3 linked regions of the Macaca fascicularis genome follow. Each later gene encodes a partner of the first gene's protein in a complex. Links are inferred from orthologs where the notes say so. Each region holds a gene or a part of one and is shown in the gene's direction. Other genes may lie near its edges.

The links.
Region 2: the proteins of BAK1 (region 1) and PXT1 are in contact, whole or in part, in a crystal structure (PDB 8GSV), measured with the Homo sapiens proteins. The link is inferred for Macaca fascicularis from reciprocal best matches to the Homo sapiens genes BAK1 and PXT1. Residues at the interface, in NP_001179.1 of Homo sapiens: Ile81, Gly82, Asp84, Ile85, Asn86, Arg88, Tyr89, Glu92, Phe93, Met96, Leu97, His99, Leu100, Tyr110, Lys113, Ile114, Ser117, Leu118, Glu120, Ser121, Asn124, Trp125, Gly126, Arg127, Val129, Ala130, Phe134, Asn182; in NP_694535.2 of Homo sapiens: Ile78, Ile79, His80, Lys81, Leu82, Ala83, Met84, Gln85, Leu86, Arg87, His88, Ile89, Gly90, Asp91, Asn92, Ile93, Asp94, Arg96, Met97.
Region 3: the proteins of BAK1 (region 1) and BNIP5 are in contact, whole or in part, in a crystal structure (PDB 8IGC), measured with the Homo sapiens proteins. The link is inferred for Macaca fascicularis from reciprocal best matches to the Homo sapiens genes BAK1 and BNIP5. Residues at the interface, in NP_001179.1 of Homo sapiens: Leu78, Ile81, Gly82, Ile85, Tyr89, Glu92, Phe93, Met96, His99, Leu100, Tyr110, Lys113, Ile114, Ser117, Leu118, Ser121, Asn124, Trp125, Gly126, Arg127, Val129, Ala130, Phe134, Ala180, Leu183; in NP_001010903.3 of Homo sapiens: Ile246, Ile247, Gln248, Met249, Ile250, Val251, Leu253, Leu254, Lys255, Arg256, Val257, Gly258, Asp259, Gln260, Trp261, Glu262, Glu264, Gln265, Ser266.

Annotation. Positions count from the first base shown.
Region 1 is NC_088378.1:138,114,792-138,121,798, forward strand, and holds the start of BAK1 (bcl-2 homologous antagonist/killer), read left to right. Parts: upstream 1-3,156; 5' UTR 3,157-3,391; intron 3,392-5,448; 5' UTR 5,449-5,599; intron 5,600-5,760; 5' UTR 5,761-5,791; coding exon 5,792-5,861; intron 5,862-7,007. UniProt on the Homo sapiens protein: Plays a role in the mitochondrial apoptotic process. Upon arrival of cell death signals, promotes mitochondrial outer membrane (MOM) permeabilization by oligomerizing to form pores within the MOM.
Region 2 is NC_088378.1:135,244,396-135,251,451, forward strand, and holds the start of PXT1 (peroxisomal testis-specific protein 1), read left to right. Parts: upstream 1-2,357; coding exon 2,358-2,387; intron 2,388-4,797; coding exon 4,798-4,975; intron 4,976-7,056.
Region 3 is NC_088378.1:135,331,961-135,339,031, forward strand, and holds the start of BNIP5 (protein BNIP5), read left to right. Parts: upstream 1-2,945; 5' UTR 2,946-3,124; intron 3,125-7,071.

The DNA of each region.
Region 1 (7,007 bases):
CAGGGAGAAGCAGGGAGGGAACTGAACCCTGAGGGCAGGGGGCTGTCGAGGACTGCACACACCTCTGTCCTTCTTGGGTTTGTTCTGTCCTCAAGAACACTCCCAGCAGCCAGACAGTATGTCTTCCCTCTTAGCATCCAGGTTTTATGTGTCCAGGTGGTAGCACAGACCCCGCTAAGTCTATTTATTTAGTTGTTTTTATTTTTATTTTTAATTTTTTGAGATGGAGTCTAGCTCTGTCTCCAGGTAGGAGTGCAGTGGCACGATCTTGGCTCACTGCAACCTCCGCCTCCCAGCTTCAAGCGATTCTCCTGCCTCAGCCTCCTGAGTAGCTGGGACTACAGGCGCCTACCACCACGCCCGGCTAATTTTTGTATTTTTAGTAGAGACGGGGTTTCACCATGTTGGCCAGGAAGGTCTCGATCTCTTGACCTCGTGACCCACCTGCCTTGGCTTCCCAAAATGCTGGGATTACAAGTGTGAGCCACCGCACCCAACCCTATTTTAATTTTATTTTTTTGAGACAGGGTTTCGTTCTTGTCACCCAGGCTGGAGTGCAGTGGTGCAATCTCAGCTCACTGCCACCTCCGCCTCCCGGGTTCAAGTGATTCTCCTGCCTCAACCTCCCAAGTAGCTGGGATTATAAGTGCACGCCACCATGCCCGCCTTTTATTTGTGTGTGTGATGGAGTTTCGCTCTTGTTGACCAGGCTGGAGTGCAATGGCTCAATCGCAGCTCACCGCAACTCTGCCTCCCGGGTTCAAGCGAGTCTCCTGCCTCAGTCTCCTGAGTAGCTAGGATTACAGGTATGTGCCACCACGCCAGGCTAATTTTGTATTTTTAATAGGGATGGGGTTTCTCCATGTTGGTCAGGCTGGTCTCAAACTTCCAACCTCAGGTGATCCGCCAGCCTCGGCCTCCCAAAGTGCTGGGATTACAGGCGTGAACCACTGCACCTGACCATTTTTTTTTTTTTTTAAACAGAGTCTCATTCTGTTGCCATTCTGCTGCCCAGGCCAGAGTGCAGTGGCGTGATCTTGGCTCACCGCAAACTCCGCCTCCTGGGTTCACGCCATTCTCCTGCCTCAGCCTCCCGTGTAGCTGGGACTACAGGCACCCGCCACCATGCCTGGCTAATTTTTTTGTATTTTTAGTAGAGATGGGGATTTCACCATGTTAGCCAGGATGGTCTCGATATCCTGACCTCGTGATCCGCCTGCCTCGGCCTCCCTTTTTTGTATTTTTAAAAGAGACAGGGTTTCGCTGTGTTGGGCAAGCTGGTCTTGAACTCCTGGCCTCAGGTGATCTGCCTGCCTAGGGCTCCCAAGGTGCTGGGATTACAGGCGGGAGCCACCATGCCCGGCCTTTTTTTTTTTTTAGACAGAACTCTCCCTCTGTTGCCCTGGTACGATCACAGCTCACTGCAGCCTCAACCTCCTGGGCTCAAGCAATCCTCCCACCTCAGCCTCCCCAGTAGTTAAGACCACAGGCATACACCACCATGCTTTGCTAATTTTTTTTTTTCCATATAAGCAGGGTATTGCTGTTGCCCAGGCTGGCCTGGAACTCCTGCACCTGGCCTCAAGCGATTCTCTTGCCTTGGCCTCCCAAATGGCTGGGATGGGATTATAGGCAGCCTGGAGGGGTGATGGGATTATAGGCGTGACACACCACAGCTGGCTGCCTTTTTTGTTGTTGTTGTTGAGACAGGGTCTTGCTCTGTCACCCAGGCTGGAATGCAGTGGTGCAAACATGGCTCACTGCAGCCTCAACTTCCGCAGCTCAGGTGATCCTCCTGCCTCAGTATCCTAGGTAGCTGGGACCACCACACGCACAGGTGTGAACCACCATACCCAGCTAGTTTTTAATTTTTTTTTCTGTAGAGACATGGTCTCCCTTTGTTGCCCAGGCTGGTCTTGAACTCCTGGGGTCAAGTAATCCTCCCACCTCGGCCTTCCAAAGTGTTGGGATTACAGGCGTGAGCCACCGTGCCCGGCCTCTATTGAGTTTTAATCTCCGTTTACTTCACTATCACCTTCAGGATTTCAGATCTCCAGAGACCACCAAGGTGCATGGTGCACAGGTCTGAATTGCAGGTTGAATCTCAATTTAGTATTAGTATTCCCCAACGCGACTACAGAACTGATTTTTTTTTTTTTTTTTTTTTGAGACGGAGTCTGGCTCTGTTGCCCAGGCTGGAGTGCAGTGGCTGGATCTCAGCTCACTGCAAGCCCCGCCTCCCGGGTTCACGCCATTCTCCTGCCTCAGCCTCCCGAGTAGCTGGGAGTACAGGCAACCGCCACCTCGCCCGGCTAATTTTTTTTGTATTTTAGTAGAGATGGGGTTTCACCGTGTTAGCCAGTATGGTCTCGATCTCCTGACCTCATGATCCGCCCGTCTCGGCCTCCCAAAGTGCTGGGATTACAGGCTTGAGCCACCGCGCCCGGCCCGAACTGATTATTACTATTTTTTTTTTTTTTTTTTTTTTTTTGAGATGGAGTCTTGCACCGTCCCCCGGGCTAGAGTCCAATGGTGCGATCCTGGCTCACTGCAACCTCCGCCTCCCGGGTTCAAGCGATTCTCCTGCCTCAGACTTCTAAGTAGCTGGGATTACAGGCACCCGCCCACCACGCCCAGCTGATTTTGTTAGCCAGAATGGTCTCAATCTCTTGACCTAGTGATCCGCCCGCCTCAGCCTCCCCAAGTGCTGGGATTACAGGCATGAGCCACCACGCCCGGCCCAGAACTGATTATTAACCCAGCTCAGTGACCTTTAGAGAGCACCTTAAACCAGCTGAGCCTCTGTTTGTTCATCTGAATGGGTATTGTCAACAGCACTCACTTACAAGAGTTGTTGAGAAGATCCAACGAGACAATAGTTGCTAAAGTGCCAGGCATGCAGCAGTGCTTAAGAAACTTCTCACCCTGGGTTTTTTATTGGTATTGATTGATGTAGAGATGGGGGAGAAGATCAAAGACAAGGATTGAGAATCAGGGATGGGAAAAGCAGTGGGCCACTGACAGCCGCTCTGCCTGGCTGGGAGGTGGGGTGGGGAAAGTGGGCGGGAGCTGCTCCTGGGCCTGGCCCACCCAGATCACCCCTCCGGGCTGCAGGCCTGTGCGTCTGCATCCGGTGGCCACAGAGCAACTTCCTCTAGAGGGAGCTGATTGGAGCCGGTTGCCGCTGGCACCTCTATGATCACTGGAGTCTCGCGGGTCCCTCAGGCAGCACAGGGACAAGCAAAGGCTACATCCAGATGCCAGGAATGCACTGACGCCTGTTCCTGGAAGCCGAGCTCCCACTCAGCCCCTGGGAGCAGCAGCCGCCAGCCCCTCGGGACCTCTCTCTCTGCCCTGCTGAGCCACCCGGGTTGGGCCAGGATCCTGGCAGGTAAGCTGGAAGGGTCCTGCCCGTCCTCCCAAATCTCAGCAGCCCCAGCCCCAGGGTGGGGCAGGGAGCCTGCCAGGAGCCGGGTGGGGAAGGGGAAGCTCAAAGCTTACCTGGGCAGGTCCGCCTGCCCGGCTGGGGACCTGATCGTGGCAAGCCTACTTCTGGCTGCCCCTCACAGCTTCCCCTCTTGCCCCAGCCCTGGATGCCGGAGAACTGTGAGAACTGGGTCCTTTAACAGTCTGGGAGATGGGGGTGGAGGTCAGAGCCAAGGTCAAGGGCAGAGAGAGAACTTTCTCAGCGCTTCCTGCTGCCCAACATCCCTAGACTGGGTCCAGGGCCTGGCCAGGCATGTATCCCTGGGGAACATTCATCAGGGCCCAGCAAGCCCAGGAAGTCGGGGGTGGCTCCCCTCACCGGGAATTTAGGCCACTTGGATTGGGGGACAGAGCTAGGCCTGAGTCAGCATAGGTTGCTGGCCTTGGGGGGTGTCCTGAGGCTCTACCTGCTCCCCTCAGGAGCCTGGGTTGTTGGTAGAGGGAGTTGGGGGTGCCGTCAGCATCCTCTGGCCCTACTGTCCTGAGGGTGCTGGGTTCTGGAGACTGGGGAAGAAGGAAGGCCATCTTATTTAAGGAGCTCCGGGGGGGTGGGGGTTTTATTTTTTGTTTTTTGAGACAGAGTCTCACTCTGTTGCCCAGGGTCGAGTGCAGTGGCGCGATTTCGGCTCACTGCAACCTCTGCCTCCCAGGTTCAACCGATTCTCCTGCCTCAGCCTCCCGAGTAGTTGGGACTACAGGCGTGCGCCACCATGCCCAGCTAATTTTTGTATTTTTAGTAGAGACGGCGTTTCATTATGTTGGCCAGGCTGGTCTTGAACTCCTGACCTCGTGGGCCACTGTGCCCGGCTGCAAAGTTCTGTTTTAACAAGGCCTTGCCCCTAGAGGTGGAGGAAAGGAGAGTCTGCCTTCGCCCTGTCCGTGTCCGGCAGAGCAAGGAGTGGGGAGCTGGGTGAGGGCACAGGTGGTCCAGTCCTCCTCCACCCCTTCTCGAGAGCTCTTGGGGCAGTTTCGAAAACACTCCCAGGCCTAGCGGAAGGAGGGTGGGCGAAGGTCCCCAGGCCCTGGGCGGTGGGGGTGGGGCTGTGTGCTTGGCCCAGGGTGGGGCTGCACACCCCCTGCCTCTGAGATAGGAGGAGGGCGCTTTCCTTCTGAGGGCCGGAGGGTGCCTGGGGAAATGGGGCTCTGGGAGGGGTGCAAACTGAAAGTGAAACAGCTGACATCCAGGAAACGCCCTGATGAGGGGTCACAGCACGTTGGTGCTGCGGTCGGGACCAGGCAAAGAGGAAAGTTGGCTGGGGACAGAAGACTAGGTGTGTGGTGGGAATACGAGGCAGGTTGTGGGGCTTCGAAGAAGGCCCTGATCCTGAGGGCTCCCTCCGGTCACTGCAAGGCAGGGGTGAGGAAGGCACAGGCAGGAGGTAAACAGGGAAAGTTGCCCTGAGAAGGGACACCCTCTGAGGTCCACAAACAAGAAGAAATCTTAAATGCTTGTTGAGTACATGGACTCATGGAGATTCAGACAAACAACCCGACTTTCCGTCACTAATGATGTGACCTCGGGCACTCAACTCTTTATGCCTCACTTTTCCAGGCTGCAAAGTGGGTATGATGGTGCTCACCCTGCTGGGTTCATGTGAGTTTTCAATGTTCAACACCCAGAGTGCTCCTAAGTGGGAGAGTATATCTTAGGCTCTCAGGAAATGTTTGCGGCTAACAGCCCAGAGTTAAAAAACAGGTGTGTTCTGACCAGCCAGAGGGAAGTAGGGCCTCTGAGGGCAGCCTTCATGGGCCATTGGCTGGGCAGTGGCTCGCTTGCAATAAGCATGTGCTGGGTGGGCTGCAGGAGGCCCCAGGAACAGCTAAAACCCCCCAGGCTCTTGCCCCAGGAGTGGTATGAGCTTGAGAGCCAGCGGGCACTGCTGCAGCCACACTCTCCTCGAGGGTGCAGATACCTCAGTCTGCCCTTGGCTGCCTCACCTTCTTACCCTGTCTCCCTCGAAGGGTCACCAGTGAAGTGCTCAGAAGTTGTTTCCTCCCAGCAGACTTCACTGGGACCCATGCTGGAGTGAGAATAAAAAGTCCCAGAGGAAGCCAGGCACAGTGGCTCACACCCGTAATCCCAGCACTTTGGAAAGCAGAGGCAGACTCACAGGTCAGGAGTTTGAGACCAGCCTGGCCAAAGTCCCAGAGGACTGAGGGCCTTTCTGGGAATGGGGAACCCTCTCTCCTATGTGGACATGGCAACCTGTCTGGGGTCCCCAATCACAGGTCCATGCTCACCCCATCTCTGCTTTTTCTCGCCCATCCCCGCAGGCTGACCCCGTCCTCCACTGAGACCTGAAAAATGGCTTCGGGACAAGGCCCAGGTCCTCCCAGGCAGGAATGCGGAGAGCCTGCCCTGCCCTCTGCTTCTGGTAAGGGTCTTCCTGCCCCTCACCCATCCCATAACCATGAGTGCTGTCATAAGGATGGAAGGAGCAGGACTCAGAGGCAGGCTCCTTCACCTCGGTTCACCCACTGTGGGTGGGAACCCACGGGCTCAGAGGCTGAAGCTGCTGTCAAGGTTAAGCCTGGGAGGGGGAGGAGTCTGGACTGGGGAGGGCCTGGAGGTTGGGAGAGGCCAGGAAGTGAGTGTAAGGTGGGCACAGTGCCACCGGAGCAGAGGGCGGGGTCAGGGGCGAGGGAGGCAGGAAGTAGAGTGAGGTCTGGCTGCTGTATCCCTCCAGCTGGAGAAATAAGGAAGTAAGCTGGCCAATCACCCAGTCAGGTCTGCTCAACAGGGAACGCAATTATTGTGACTTGGGGAGGAAGTAAGATGGCTGCCCTCCTTCCTTCTTCCCAGGGGACAGCCAGGGAAGCCCCAGCTCACACCCCACGGTGGGCTGTTCCCTGGACTTGGGAATCAGCTCCCAGGTCTGTCACTATCTCCCTGTGTGACTTTTCTGGGTTGAGGCTACAATTTCAGATTTTGTTTCCCACATTTCCCTGCACACAAAGGGCTGCGGAGCTGAGATGTACTAACGTAGACTCAAGAGCCCAAATGCCCGGGACTGTCCCAGCTCCCCGGCTTGTTCTGGCTATATGATCTTGCACACGTTAGACACCCTGTGTCATTTTCCCCCTGAAATCTGGAGATTGCCTGCTCCCAGGGCTACTGTGAGGACCCAATGCAAGTGCTGGAACAACTCTCCACACAGCATAAGTTCTAGGGCGGCTAAGGCTCTGAAGTAGGGATCTTTCTTTTCTTTCTTTTATTATCTTTCTTTCTTTTCTTTTCTTTTTTTTTTTTTTTTTTTTTTTTTTTTTTCTGAGACGGAGTCTTGCTCTGTAGCCCGGGCTGGAGTGCAGTGGCCGGATCTCAGCTCACTGCAAGCTCCGCCTCCCGGGTTTACGCCATTCTCCTGCCTCAGCCTCCGGAGTAGCTGGGACTACAGGCGCCCACCACCTTGCCCGGCTAGTTTTTTGTATTTTTAGTAGAGACGGGGTTTCACGGTGTTAGCCAGGATGGTCTCGATCTCCTGACCTCGTGATCCGCCCGTCTCGGCCTCCCAAAGTGCTGG
Region 2 (7,056 bases), about 2.9 Mb from region 1:
CCTCTGCTTCCATTGTCACATTTCTTTCTGTGAATCTGGCCCTCTTGCCTCCCTCTCTAAGGATTATGTGATTAGGTTGAGCCCAGCTAATCCAGGATAATCTCTTCATCTCAAGAGCTTTAATATAATTACATCTACAGAGTCCATTCTGCCAGGTAGGGTAACATATTCACAGGTTCTGGGAATTAGGATGTGGATATTTTGTGAGGCTGTTATTTAGCCTACAACACATAGACAGCAAAATGTGAACCCATAGATGAATTAATAATTAACAAAAGAAATGATAGGAGATTTACTTTTTTTTTTGGAGATGGAGTGTCGCTCTGTCACCCAGGCTGGAGTGCATTGGTGCAATCTCACCCCACTGCAACCTCTGCTTCCTGGGTTCAAGCGATTTTCCTGCCTCAGCCTCCCAAGTAGCTGGGACCACAGTCATGTGCCACTATGCCTGGCTAATTTTTGTATTTTTAGTAGAGACAAGGTTTTGCCATGTTGGCCAGGCTGGTCTCGAGCTCCTGATCTCAAGCACCTATCTGGGCCTCCCAAAGTGCTGGGATTACAGGTATGAGCCACCATGCCTGGCCAAAAGCTTTACTTCTAATGCATTTTAAGCTTTATATCAGAACAACCCACAAAGAAGATAAAATAAATTATTTTATTAAGTAAAAGCTTTCATAAATATATATCAAAATAATAAGACTTGGCCCGGCATGGTGGCTCACGCCTGTAATCCCAGCACTTTGGGAGACTGAGGCAGGTGGATCACTTGAGGTCAGGAGTTCGAGACCAACCTGGCCAACATGGTGAAACCCCATCTCTACAAAAAATAAAAAATTAGCCAGGCACGGTGGCATGCACCTGTAATCCCAGCTACACAGGAGGCTGAGGCAGGAGGATCGCTTGAACCTGGGAGGTGGAGGTTGCAGTGAGCCGAGATTGCACCATTGCACTCCAGCCTGGGCCAAAGGAGTGAAACTCCATCTCAAAAAAAAAAAAAAAAAAAAAAAAAAAGTAAAGGAAAAGAAAATAATAATAATAAGACAAGATACCTAACATAAACCAGTAATTATTAAATTGACAACATACATCAACTAAATGGTTGCTGAAGCATGTGCAGATACATTCTCATGCTTTCATGAATTCTGAGATTTCCTGGTTATATATAATATTTTCAGGTAGGGCCAACATTTCTTAAGGGTATTTATGCAATTTTTTTTTTTTTTTGAGACAAGATCTCACTCTGTTGCCCAGATTGGAGTGCAGTGGTGCCATCTTGGCTCACTGCAACCTCTGCCTCCCAGGCTCAAGCTATTCTTCTGCCTCAGCCTCCTGAGTAGCTGAGATTACAGGCATGCGCCACCATGCCCAGCTACTTTTTGTATTTTTAGTAGAGACGGGGTTTCACCATGTTGGCCAGGCTGTTCTGGAACTCCTGACCTCAATTGATCCACCCGCCTCTGCCTCCCAAAGTGCTGGGTTTACAAGGGTGAGCCACTGTGCCCGGCCTGGTAATTATCCAGTTATACTAACAGTTACATAAAACAGCATAGTGTTTTTCTGACATTTATGTACATATATATGTATATATTTTTTCTTTCTTTCTTTTTTTTTTTTTTTTTGGGACAAGGTCTCACTTTGTACCCCAGGCTGGAATGCAGTGGTGTAAACACGACTCATTGCAGCCTCAATTTTCCAGACTCAAGTGATTCTACCTCAGCTTCCCGAGTAGCTGGGATTACAGGTGTGCGCCACCACGCTAATTTTTGTATTTTTTTGTAGAGATCAGATTTCACCATGTTGCCCAGGCTATTCTCAAACTCCTGAGCTCAAGCAATCAGCCCACTTCGGCCTCCCAAAGTATTGGGATTCCAGGCATAAGCCACACCACTTCTGGTCCTGACATATATTTTAAAATAAGTTTTAGGCTGTGCACGGTGGCTCATGCGTGTAATCCCAACACTTTGGAAGGCCGAGGCGGATGGATCACCTGAGGTCGGGAGTTTGAGACCCGCCTGGCCAACTTGGTGAAACTCCATCTCTACTAAAAATACAGAAATTAGCTGGGCTTGGTGGCACCACTGCACTATAGCCTGGGTGACAGAGCGAGAGACTCCGTTTCAAAAAAAAAAAAGGTTTTAGATGAAAAATATAATTAGCATTAATTATTTTCCATAAGTACCTATTAACATACTGCAGTATTGTTTGAGGGAAATTATAATAAAAACCTACTTGGGAAAAATAAAATCCAACATTCTTGATAGTTTAGTTTAAAAGGCTGTGGTTAGATATTTTATTCTCAGTTGTCTAGCAATGTTACATGAATGACTAGTACAAAATGACAGTTTCACAATAGGCTGATGGGTAAAGCTGTCAGCCAGCTCTTTCAGGTAAGAACCTCGCCTGGTAGCTGCATCTTGATGATCAACTTTGCTCATTTAGGAACAGTTTTTTTTTTTTTTTTTTGAGTCTCACTCTGTCGCCCAGGCTGGAGTGCAGTGGCACGATCTCGGCTCACTGCAACCTCTGCCTCTAGGGTTCAAGCCATTCTCCTGCCTCAGCCTCTTGAGTAGCTGGGACTACAGGCATGTGCCATCACACCGGCTAATTTTTTGAATTTTTAGTAGAGACGGGGTTTCACCGTGTTAGCCAGGATGGTCTTGATCTTCTGACCTCATGATCCGCCCGCCTTGGCCTCCCAAAGTGCTGAATTACAGGCATGAGCCACCGCACCCAGCCAGGAATTTTAATACTTTTATCAGTTCATCCAGGTCTGATCTGGCTCTGACACATGAGCTGAACAGCATGTCTTACTTGACAAATCAAATTAGGGTCAGAAGTTTGCCTAATGAGTCTAGTTAAAATGCCAGGCTGCCCAAGGCACTAAAAATGCCCAGAAACCCACAACAACTCATTTCTCAGCTCCCTTTCCCCCAGTGTGGCCTGAATTACAAACTTAAGCAATATATTGAGGTAGCATTCTACACTGGAAAATGTGGTACATTTGAAAAACGATGAGTCACAATTCTATTTGACAGTCTTTCTCCCCTTGGTTTGTATGGCTGGCTGTCCGGTAAAGTACAGTACAGTAGCCACTGACTGCATGTGGCTACTGAGTACCCAAAATGTGGCTAGTCTGAATTGAGATGTGCTGTAAGTGCAAAATGCATACCAGATTTTGAAGACTTAAATTAATAAGAATGTAAAATAATTCATTAATAATTTTTTATATTGATTACATGTTGAAATGATAATATTTGGATTTATTTGGGGATAGAGTAAATAAAATATATCATTAAAATTAATTTCACTCACTTCTTTTTACTTATTAAATGTAGCTACTAGAAAACTTAAAACCATATATGTGGTTCACTTATTTGTATTAGACAGCACTGATGTAAGGCTCCTGAAGTCCGCCTCTATTATCTTAGCAGCTCATTGTGGTCTTATCCATTCTTTGCCTTTGCAGTAACTTAGATTTAGAAGTTAGAATAGCAGGTAGATTTAGGAGGTAGAATAGAAAGTTTTGAACCCTGTGGCCACCCTTCAAGTCAAAAGAATTAAATGCCCAGGAAGACAACAAAAGTCATAATGCAGCCGGGTATGGTGACGACTCACGCCTGTAATCCCAGCACTTTGGGAGGCCGAGGCGGGCAGATCACGAGGTCAGGAGTTCAAGACCAGCCTGGCCAACACGGTGAAACCCCGTCTCTACTAAAAATATAAAAATTAGCTGGGCGTGGTGGCACACACCTGTAATCCCAGCTACTCGGGTGGATGAGGCAGGAGAATCGCTTGAACCTGAGAGGGAGAGGTTGCAGTGAGCCTAGATGTGCACTCCAGCTGAGATGTGTACTCCAGCCTGGGCAACAGAGCAAGACTCCGTCTCAAAAAAAAAAAAAAGTCTTAATGCAATTCTTCATCTCATTTGGATTTATTCTACAATATTGGAGGGGAAAAGGGAAAGGAGGCAGAAGAGTAATCTTCATATAAGTGTTTGCAGAGACAGAATGTGTGTGTATGAAGGATCAAAGAGGACTATGAGAATTATTTTGGGGAGGAAACACACACACCCACGAGGAAATAGGACAAAGAGTGTGTTGTATTCCATCTCCACCCCTCTCCACCTCTCTAGGTTTTGATCTACTTTATTTTGGCTATACCAATTTTTCTCTCTTTTTCTCAGTGTACCAATTTACACACTTCCCCTGATGGAATGTGGCTCTTGAAAAGAGGCCAGGCACCGTGGCTCACGCCTGTAATCCCAACCCTTTGGGAGGCTGAGGTGGGTGGATCACCTGAGGTCAGGAGTTTGAGACCAGCCTGACCAACATGGTGAAACCCTGTCTCTACTAAAAATACAAAATTAGCCAGGCATGGTGGCACATGCCTGTAATCCCAGCTACTCAGGAGACTGAGGCAGGAGAATTGCTTGAACCCAGGAGGCAGAGGTAGCAGTGAGCCGAGATGGCGCCATGGCACTCCAGCCTGGGCAACAAGAGCGAAACTCCGTCTAAGAAAAAAAAAGAGAGAGAGAGAAGAAAGACTAATGGGAGATAAGGATGCAGGCAGGTGTAATAGGTGATAAGGATGCAGCAGCCTAGAAAGATGTTTAACTAAATTGAAAAAGACCTCACTCTGGTCCACCTTCTACGCTAATCCACCTTCTACTCTAATCCATAACTCTCTTATATGTGGAATAAATGCTGCTGATATTGTTAAAACATTAATATTTATCCAAAATACCAAATATTTAACTGAGAAATGGGGGAAAGCCTCTGAAAATATGTTTTTCAACAGGGAAAAAACAAGAAGAAAAAACATGATGGCATTGTTTATGAAACTAAAGAAGTTCTCAATCCATCTCCCAAAGTAACAAATTGTTGCAAATCACTGTGGGTAAAATACAGTTTTCAGAAGGCATACATGACCCAACTTGTCAGCTCCCAGCCAGTTCCAGCAATGTCAAGGAACTCAGGTAAGATCTTATTTGGATTAAACTAAGATAAATAGTTTACTTAGCATGTGTTTTTCTTGATATTAAGACCATAAAATTGGACATTTTATATATATATATATATATTTATTTATTTATTTTATTATTATTATTTTTTTGAGATGGAGTCTCACTCTGTCGCCCAGGCTGGAGTGCAGTGGTGCGATCTCAGTTCTCTGCAACCTCTAGCTCCTGGGTTTAAGTGATTCTCCTGCCTCAGCCTCCCGAGTAGCTGGGATTGCAGGCGCCCGCCACCATGCCTGGCTAATTTTTTCATATTTTTAGTAGAGACGGGGTTTCACCATGTTGGCCAGGCTGGTCTTGAACCCCTGACCTCAACTGATCCCCCCTCATAGGCCTCCCAAAGTGCTAGAATTACAGGCGTGAGTCACTGCGCCTGAATCACATTAAATATATTATTTAAATATGAACTATAAGAAAATCTATTCATCCCGGTTCTTAGGTGGCAAAAATCTAAAAGTGACTTTGCTTCATGGTACTAAATCTCTTTAGTTTCTATTAGCCCTGAATCATTGCTGTGACGACCAATTAAGGTAATCCCAAATGGGCTAAAAATAGATCAAATTTATCTTTTAATAAAAATTAGTCTTTAAATTGGACCTGATAGTGTCTGTATTGTTAAGGTAGGGAACATTCAGATTAGATTTCTTCTTGATTTTGCCACTAGAAGAGAGAACATGAAGGAAAGATAAATTTGAAATTTTACGTTGCAAAAATGTGATTCCTAAATGTCCCAGAATGCTGGAAAAGTAGTTTTATGTTTTGAAGAGCATTAAAGGGCAGTGTTAGGTAAATTTATGAGGTTTTAGACTTTTAGATAAAAAATATGCTAGATACCCGAGAGGGATTATGAACATTAATTTCAACCTAATATCTAATTTTAAAATAATTACATGCCTCCTGAGAAAGTGGAAATTTCAAGCATCCTGATAGTTGCTTGCCACCACACCAAATACTTTTTTTGTTTTTGTTTTGTTTTGTTTTTTTGAGACAGAATCTCACTTTGTCGCCCAGGTTGGAGTGCAGTGGTACAGTCTTGGTTCACTGCAACCTCCGCCTCCCGGATTCAAGTGATTCTTCTGCCTCAGCCTCCCAAGTAGCTGGGATTACAGGCGTCCGACACTACGCTGGGCTAATTTTTATATTTTTAGTAGAGCCAGGGGGTTTCCATCATGTTGGCCAGGCTGGACTCCTGACCTCAAGTGATCCGCCGGCCTCAGCCTCCCAAAGTGCTGGGATTACAGGCGTGAGCCACTGCGCCCGCCCTGCTATCCATTTTTTAGAAAGCACTGAATTGACTGAAATTTTGGATCTTCTTCTTCTTTTTTTTTTTTTTTTGTTTTTGAGACGGAATCTCGCTCTGTCGCCCAGGCTGGAGTGCAGTGGCGCGATCTCGGCTCACTGCAAGCTCCGCCTCCCGGGTTCACGCCATTCTCCTGCCTCAGCCTCCCGAGTAGCTAGCACTACAGGCGCCCGCCATTAGGTCCAGCTAATTTTTGTATTTTTAGTAGAGACGGGGTTTCACCGTGTTAGCCAGGATGGTCTCGATCTCCTGACCTCGTGATCCGCCCGTCTCGGCCTCCCAAAGTGCTGGGATTACAGGCGTGAGCCACCGCGCCCCGCCTGAATCTTCATTTGTTAATTCCGTTGTCAACAATTATTCCCCAAAGTCTGAGATTGTGTCACCTATGAACACGTTCTAGGAACTTGTATTTATTTTTGAGACGTAATTCACTTAACATAAAGTTCACCCTTTTAAAGTGCACAGTACAGAGGGTTTTAGTATACTCACAAAGTTGTGCAAATCGTCGCCACTATTCTAAGATTTTATATTTTATTGTAAACCCTTTCCAGTATGTTTCCACACTCCACCTCCTGATCCTCAGATTCCTTGTGAAGCTGATCGCTGTCTTCTGAAGTTTTCCGTGGGCGTTGCTACTTTTGCCTCAAATGCTTTTCTTTTTTTTTTTTTTTTTTTTTTTTTTTGAGACGGAGTCTCGCTCTGTCGCCCAGGCTGGAGTGCAGTGGCCGGATCTCAGCTC
Region 3 (7,071 bases), about 2.8 Mb from region 1:
AAGCCAGGCGTAAAAGAAAACATGCAGACCGATGATGCTCCAAAATAGGCAAAACTAATCTAATCTGGGAGTCATGAGGGGAACAAGGCGGGTTCTGGGGTGCCAGGAATGTTCTCTTTCTTCATCTGGGTGCTGGTTTACACAGGTTTATTCCCTTTGTGAAAATTCATGGAGCTATCTCCTTGTGATCTGCGTACCTTTTTATATGTTATACTTAAATAAACATTTCAAAAATATTCTGTCTCAATCTCCCTCTGTCTCCCTCTCGCATCTTCCCTCCCAGCACATGGTTGGGAACTGTCACCTTCAGAGCCCCCTTCAAGGCTGTGTGACCTGGACAGTTGCACAGGGTGTGCACTCAGAAGGGCCTGGTGCTTGGTTTAAAGTTCTGCTGTCTGTCTTGAAACTATTAATACTTTTTGAGCAAGGGTGCTTTGTTTTCATTTTGCATGGGGGCTCACACATAGTGTAGCCGACCTTGGCCCCGGGTCAGGTAGCTGCCAGAGTCTGTCTCCAGATTTCCAGCCCAGGACGTGATCTTTGGCAGGCACTGAGGGCAGGGCTAGGTTGCTCCCCTAGACCCCTGATGGAAAAGGTGTGGAATGCTCAGAGCGGCCCATGACGGCTTTCCCTCCCGTGAGAACCTAGGAGCGCATGTACCTGCAGATGGGATTGCTGGGTACATGGGAGGTGCCTGCACAGTGTCCCACGTGGCTCTCTGCCCCTCCCCTTCTTTTTATTGTGGTAAAATATGCATGACATAAAGTTGACTGTTTTAACCTTTTTAAAGTGTACGGTGCAGTGGCATTAAGTACATTTTGATTGTTGTACCACTCTCTACCACTGAACCATCTCCACAACTCAAAAGTTGAGTTTGAGTTTGCCTTGTGAAAATCCTCCACATCTCAAAAGTTGTGGAGATGGTTCAATGGTGGAGGTGGTGGTACAACATTCCTCTCAAACTGAAACTCTGTATGCATTAAACAACTTCCCATTCCCTTCTGCTTGCTTGTATGGTTTTCTCTGTGTGTTTCTCTCTTCCCAACTACTTTGTGGACTCTGTGAGGGCTGGGCCAGGCCAGGCATATTCACCTCAGAATAAGAAAGAACACATACAATACACACAGGGCCTGGAAGAAGTGGGTGACAGAATAGTTTCATTAAATAAATGAAAAATATGTAATATTATTTAACCTTTGTTTGAAGGCTGGGTGACTTCTTGACTAATAAACTCTAAATTTAGTGCTGAGACAGTGTCTGGCACATAGCTGGATCCAAAACCTGTTGACAGAATGAATGAAGCATTAATAACTCTGTTGCCCGTAATAAAATATTGGGCCTTTATTGAACCCTTACAAGTACCAGGCACTGTTAATACACAGAAAGAAAGATGTTTGGCACTCCATACCCTCCCTCCCTCCCTTCCTCCCTTCCTTCCTTCCGCCCGCCCTCCCTCCCTCCCTTTCTTCCTTCTTTTCTTTCTTTTTTTCCTTCCTTTCCTTCCTTTCTTCTTTTTTCCTTTGACACAGGATCTCACTCTGCTGCCTAAGCTGGAGTGCAGTAGCATGATCACGACTCACTGCAGCCTTGACCTCCTGGGCTCAAGCAATCCTCCTGCCTCAGCCTCCTGAGTAGCTGAGACTACATGCATGTGCCACCATGCCTGGCTAATTTTTAAAATTTTTAGTAGAGATAAGATCTCACTAGGTTGTCCAGGCTGGTTTTGAACTTCTGGGCTCAAGCAATCCTCCTGCTTTGGTCTCCCACAGTGCTGGGATTAGAGATGTGAGCCACCATGCCTGGCCTCCTTCTTTTCTTTATAAGCATTAGCACATTTGGCCCTACAACTACCCTCTGAGATGACCACTTGTTTTATAAGTGAGCACAAGCTCAGCGACATTGTGTCCTCTGCTGAGGTTACATAGCTGGCAGGTGTCTCCAGACGGGGCTGACTCCAAAGTCTGGTGCCTCCGTATTTATTTTGTAATGCCTCCCTGTGTTAATGAACCAAAATAGAATTTCTTAACTTTTTTTTGAGACAGAGTCTCGCTCTGTCACCCAGTCTGGAGTGCAGTGGCGTGATCTCAGCTCACTACAACCTCTGCCTCCTGGGTTCAAGTGACTTTCCTGCCTCAGCCTTCTGAGTAGTTGGGATTACAAGTGTCTGCCACCACACCTGGCTAATTTTTGTATTTTTAGTAGAGATGGGGTTTCACCATGTTGGCCAGGCTGGTCTTGAACTCCTGACCTCATGTGATCCGCCTGCCTTGGCTTCCCAAAGTGCTGGGATTACAGGCATGAGCCACCGCGCCCGGCCTTTGCTTTCATTTTAATAAAACTAGTTTTTCTTTTCTGATTATAAACATGTATTTACACTCTTTTTTTAAATAAGGCATTACAGAAAGTGGAACTCTGACTTTTTAGGACTTCTTAGAATGTTCTCTCAAGATCCGTGGCAACCCTTCCCGGGCGCAGCAGATCTGGAGCAGGTGGCTCTTGTGGGCTCTTTCTTCTGGGCTGTCTCCAGGTCAAGGGACGTATGTATCCCATCGCTGACCTTTCTTTCTAGGTACCCACTAATCTTCAAAGATAACTGAGGGATGTTGTAAAGGCAGTAAAGCTACCTCCACTTTCTTCCCTAACCTGCGTTTCCCATTAAGGCTTGTTTTCAACTCTAAGGTGGGGCTTTCCCCAGCCAGACCTTAGGTTATTTTCTGAGCTTTGGTTTCTTATTGGGGTTTGGGTGCAATAAGGAAGTTGTCAAGTGAAACTGTTTTTTCCAGGGTAGCTGAGCTAAGCCTCCTATCATTGGAGGAGCGGGGAGCAGCCCTGGGTTGGGTGGTAACAGGTGGAGGCAGGTGAGCCAGCCCATGGCTCTCTGGATTGGCTGCCATGAGCTCAGCTCCTGGAAGATACTATATATATGGACGGCCAAAGCATCTTCTGAGACACTCAGAAAATTGTCAGCACCAAAGTCGTGGCATCTTCTCCCTGGGAGAGCTGGGTCTGACTTCTCATTGGACACAACTTCCAGCTGACAGGGAGGAGAGCCTACCACAGAGACCTCCTGTCTGAAGATCCCGGCCCCGGGTGTTCAGGACAAAAGCGATTTCTGTGGTCCAAGGTTGGTTGAACAATACCCTCTCCTTTGGGGGCTGGAGCAGTGGGTATGTATCTTGGGGTCCGGAGAGGAGTTTAGTCCTGGGAGTCAAACCAAGAGTCCAGTTCCAATTCTGCTTCCAGCATGCTGGGCCCTCCCAGAGAGGCAGCAGGGGTGGAGGTGGGGGAATCAGTTTTCTTATCTCTAAAAAGATGAAGCAGGGTTCAGTGACATTATCTCAATGGGGTGTTTCTCAAAGAGCTCTGGGCTCACTTGGACTTAAAACTCTGTATTCAAGTCCCAATCCTGCTTATTAGCCGGCACCCTGAGCAAGGAACTTCACTTCCTTGGGCCTCAGTTTTCTTGTCTGTAGGATGGGGCAGCATTACATAGCTCACCTGCTAGTTTCCCTATAGGATGTGGTAGACGTCGAGTTCTAGACCTTATGTGAAGGTACATGAGGGGACCCCCGATAAATGGGAGGTGTTATTATTACCTATGGTTGAATTAAGATTCTATGAGTTTTAAGGTTTCGGAAGTTAGTCCAAGAACGGGGAGATCTTATTAAAAAAACTCATGGTCTACTGCTTTCTTGGATGGGAATTTAGAGGCTGGGGGTGGATTATAACCCACAGTCCTGACCGACTCCTCACGCAGTGTTGCATTGCCCGTGGTCTTGGATAGAGGACAGAATGGGGTGGGGAGGGCATGGGTGTCTATACCTAGGCACACGTGATTGTGTGACTCTGTGTGCACAGGTCACTGTAGGTGTGTATGTGAATGTGGTTATTTCCATCAGTGTGAAAGAGCAGGTTTCTCCCCTCTAAGTCTGTATGTAAGTGTGTGCATGTGTATCTATGCTTACATGAGGCCATTTGGTGTAGAATAGAGAAGATAGGATTCAGATCAGGAGAAGTGAATTCGAGTCTCAGCTCTCTGCTTCCCGGCTATGTGACCTGGGGCGTGTCTCTTAATGGTTGAGAGCCTCAGTGCACCACTGTTAGCCCATCTGAGTCACAGCCCTTGGCAAAGATGGAATGAGATCATGTAAAGGAAAGGGCTCTCTGGACGCCGTGTGGCTGCATGAAGGTGAGATGGTTTGGGTTTTCACGTGCCTATGTATCATTTATTTGTTTCACGAACACCGAGAGCCTCCCAGGCTCAGGTCCCCTCTCACGGAACTTAGAGTTAGCACCGATGGCAAGTAGTGAGCTTGGTCATATAATTATTCCTTTACACTTGGGACAGGAGAAATACAGGGCGTCTTGAGTCCGTGTAGGTCTGTGGTGTGCACAAGTGTGTTCTGGTGACACGTGGATGTCTGTGGTGTTGACTGTGGGTCCACGTGTGTGTGCCACACACTCTGTCCCTCAGGGTGCTGCTGTGGGTGTGCCGCAGGTTTTCTCTCTGTGAAGTTTCTATTGTGTGAATCATGGGTGGAAAAGGAGAGCCGCAAAGTTATCTCCATGAAAGGCACCAGAGCAGTTAGAGGGTAAGGCGGCCAGGTGAACAAATTAGCAAACAGCATAGAGATGAGGTCACCGTGCAACTTAGAAAGTAAACAATACACAGCAGCAAGCTTGGGGAAGGCAGGCAAACTTCCTGCTCCAGGGTCAGCTTCGTGAGCCTTCTCTGGTTCTTTGTCGCTGTTGCTGGACATGTCACCAGTAAATGCCACATCTTATCAGAAGAAGTCTTGTGATCTGTAGATCACTCGGGTATTTCTGAGCTGATTTGGACTTTGCTCTGACATCCACAACAAGTTTACGAGAGCAGCTGGGTTTCCGCATAGTGAGGCCGCGCTGCTGGCTTAGGGTTCCTAGTCTGGAGCACAGCCTGCGCGGGGTGGGATTCCCTGGTGGTCGGGCTGAATGTAGTTGAGCACCTGGGGCACAAAACAAAGAAGAAGAAAGGAAAGTCTTGCTTTGATAAATCCTGGATAGCAGAATTTTATACTTGGAAAGTCTTTAATTTTGGCACAGGTAGGAAAGGGGAGGTTATTAGGATTAAAAGACAAGCTTCCCAGGGCTTAGAGACTTTAAAAGTCTGAGGACACACCATCCACAGAGGTTCTTCAGGGGTCTTCCTGGGGGCGTGTTGGTGTGTCTTCCCCAGTCAGCCGCACTCTCTCAATCCCTGGCCCAGAGCTGAAGACAATCTTTGAAACATTACAGAGGAGGAGCAGTTGGAGCGGGGGAGAGGGAGGAGAGAGCTGGACTGAGCACAGTCACAGCCACCCAGAGAGGAAAGAGAAAAGAAGGAAGTAGGGCTGGTATCAAATGCTGCAGCACGTTAGGGAGGACAAGGCATGGGAAGAGGTCACTGGATTTGGAATTAGGAAGCCTTGGGAGACCCTGGAATCTCTTCATTGGGGAAACTCTTGGGTAGCAGAGGCTGGGCGTCACCCGGCCCCCTTCCTGCCTCTGGGCTGCAGCAGCAGCTGCGGGGCTCCTGGCCTTAGTTTCTCGCATCTCCCCATGGGCTCAGGGCACCGGTTATTCCAGGGAGGGGGTGGCCAAATCACAGTAGCTTTCCTGAAAAAACGTCAGGGAAAGCATGTGCTGGTGGGATTGTGTTAATGTTCTGATCAGGAGGAGCAGCGTGTCCTTGGAATGCATTAGGAGGATACTGCCGCCATTGGCAGTGGCGAAAACCGTTTCCATGGCAATGACAGCTCTTTAAAAGATGACTGCGTCTCTCTTCCCGTTAACTGGGTAAGGAAGCACTGGCCCTCCGTGCGATGGGTCCCATGGAGCCAAATCTGTGCAGACGGAAGAGAGGCTGAGCTGAACAAGAGTGTCCTGGTTCTGTGGTTTTGTTAATGAACAGCTTCTCTGCCAACCCCATCCAATTTGCCCTGACCACAGGAACATATGGAAAACGCAGAGAGAACCCTGACAGCGTTCAGTAAATATTTCTGGCTCGGCTTACTTTTTTAAAAATATGATCTTAAATCACATAGAACTTCAACCTAAATTTATCTTCTTTTAAGACCATGTGCTTCTGAAGAGACAGCAGATGCAGGGGAATGGAACATTGCTGTCATCACTGTGTACTCACATCCTTATTCCTGCGCGTTCAGAGAAGACCAGAATATTCCCTCTGGGGGCACACACTGCATCTCGTTCATGATTGTATCCCTAGCACCGAGCATAATTTCTGGTGCAGAGTGGGTGCTTATTAAATGTTTTTTGAGAGAAATAAGTGAGAACAAACATAAATTTTTCCCCATGACTTCTTCTCCTTGTCCTACCCCCCGTTGTCTTCGGAAACACAACCGTAAGGCAGCCAGTCTCTGAGTCTTTCAGGAATATTAGTGAATTTCCATATAAGGTACAGATACATACTGCTAAAAGTTTCCGTGTAGCCCAGATGTTCCTTTTAAGGAACATTAAATAACAAATAAGTCCTTTTAAATTGCCTGCCTCCACCCCGACCTGATTTCTCATTTCCTCCAAGGTCATCCACGTGTGGACACTTGGCTCCAATGGCCTCTGGCCTTGGCGACCTGGGGCTGCAATATCGTCTGGTTTCCTTCCCAGACGGGTGCTTGGAGGAGGGAAGGCATCCCAAATGTTCATGTCACCTTCAAATATGTGTGTTCCCATTTCTTTTCTTCTTTCTCTGTATCTTCTTCACTTTCCTGTGGATCCCACACATAAGAAATTGCAATTATAGATTCTTATTTTTGCCTCTAAGCTGAGCATAGCAATAGAATACATTTTAGAGTACATCCCATACCACTAAACATTACTTGGTCAATGCATGCTAAAGCTGTAATGACAAATTAGAGCAGGCAACCTGTGGTCCTAAACTCCACAGGACTCTCCAGGGGCTCAGGTTTGGCATTCAAAACCATATTTTATTTTTCTTTTACCTTCCACTGAAGGGAAGAGGCCTTCTGAACAACTCTGGAAAAATTGGAAAGCCCCAGCAGTTTTAGATTAAATTAAAGACACACAAATGAAGTG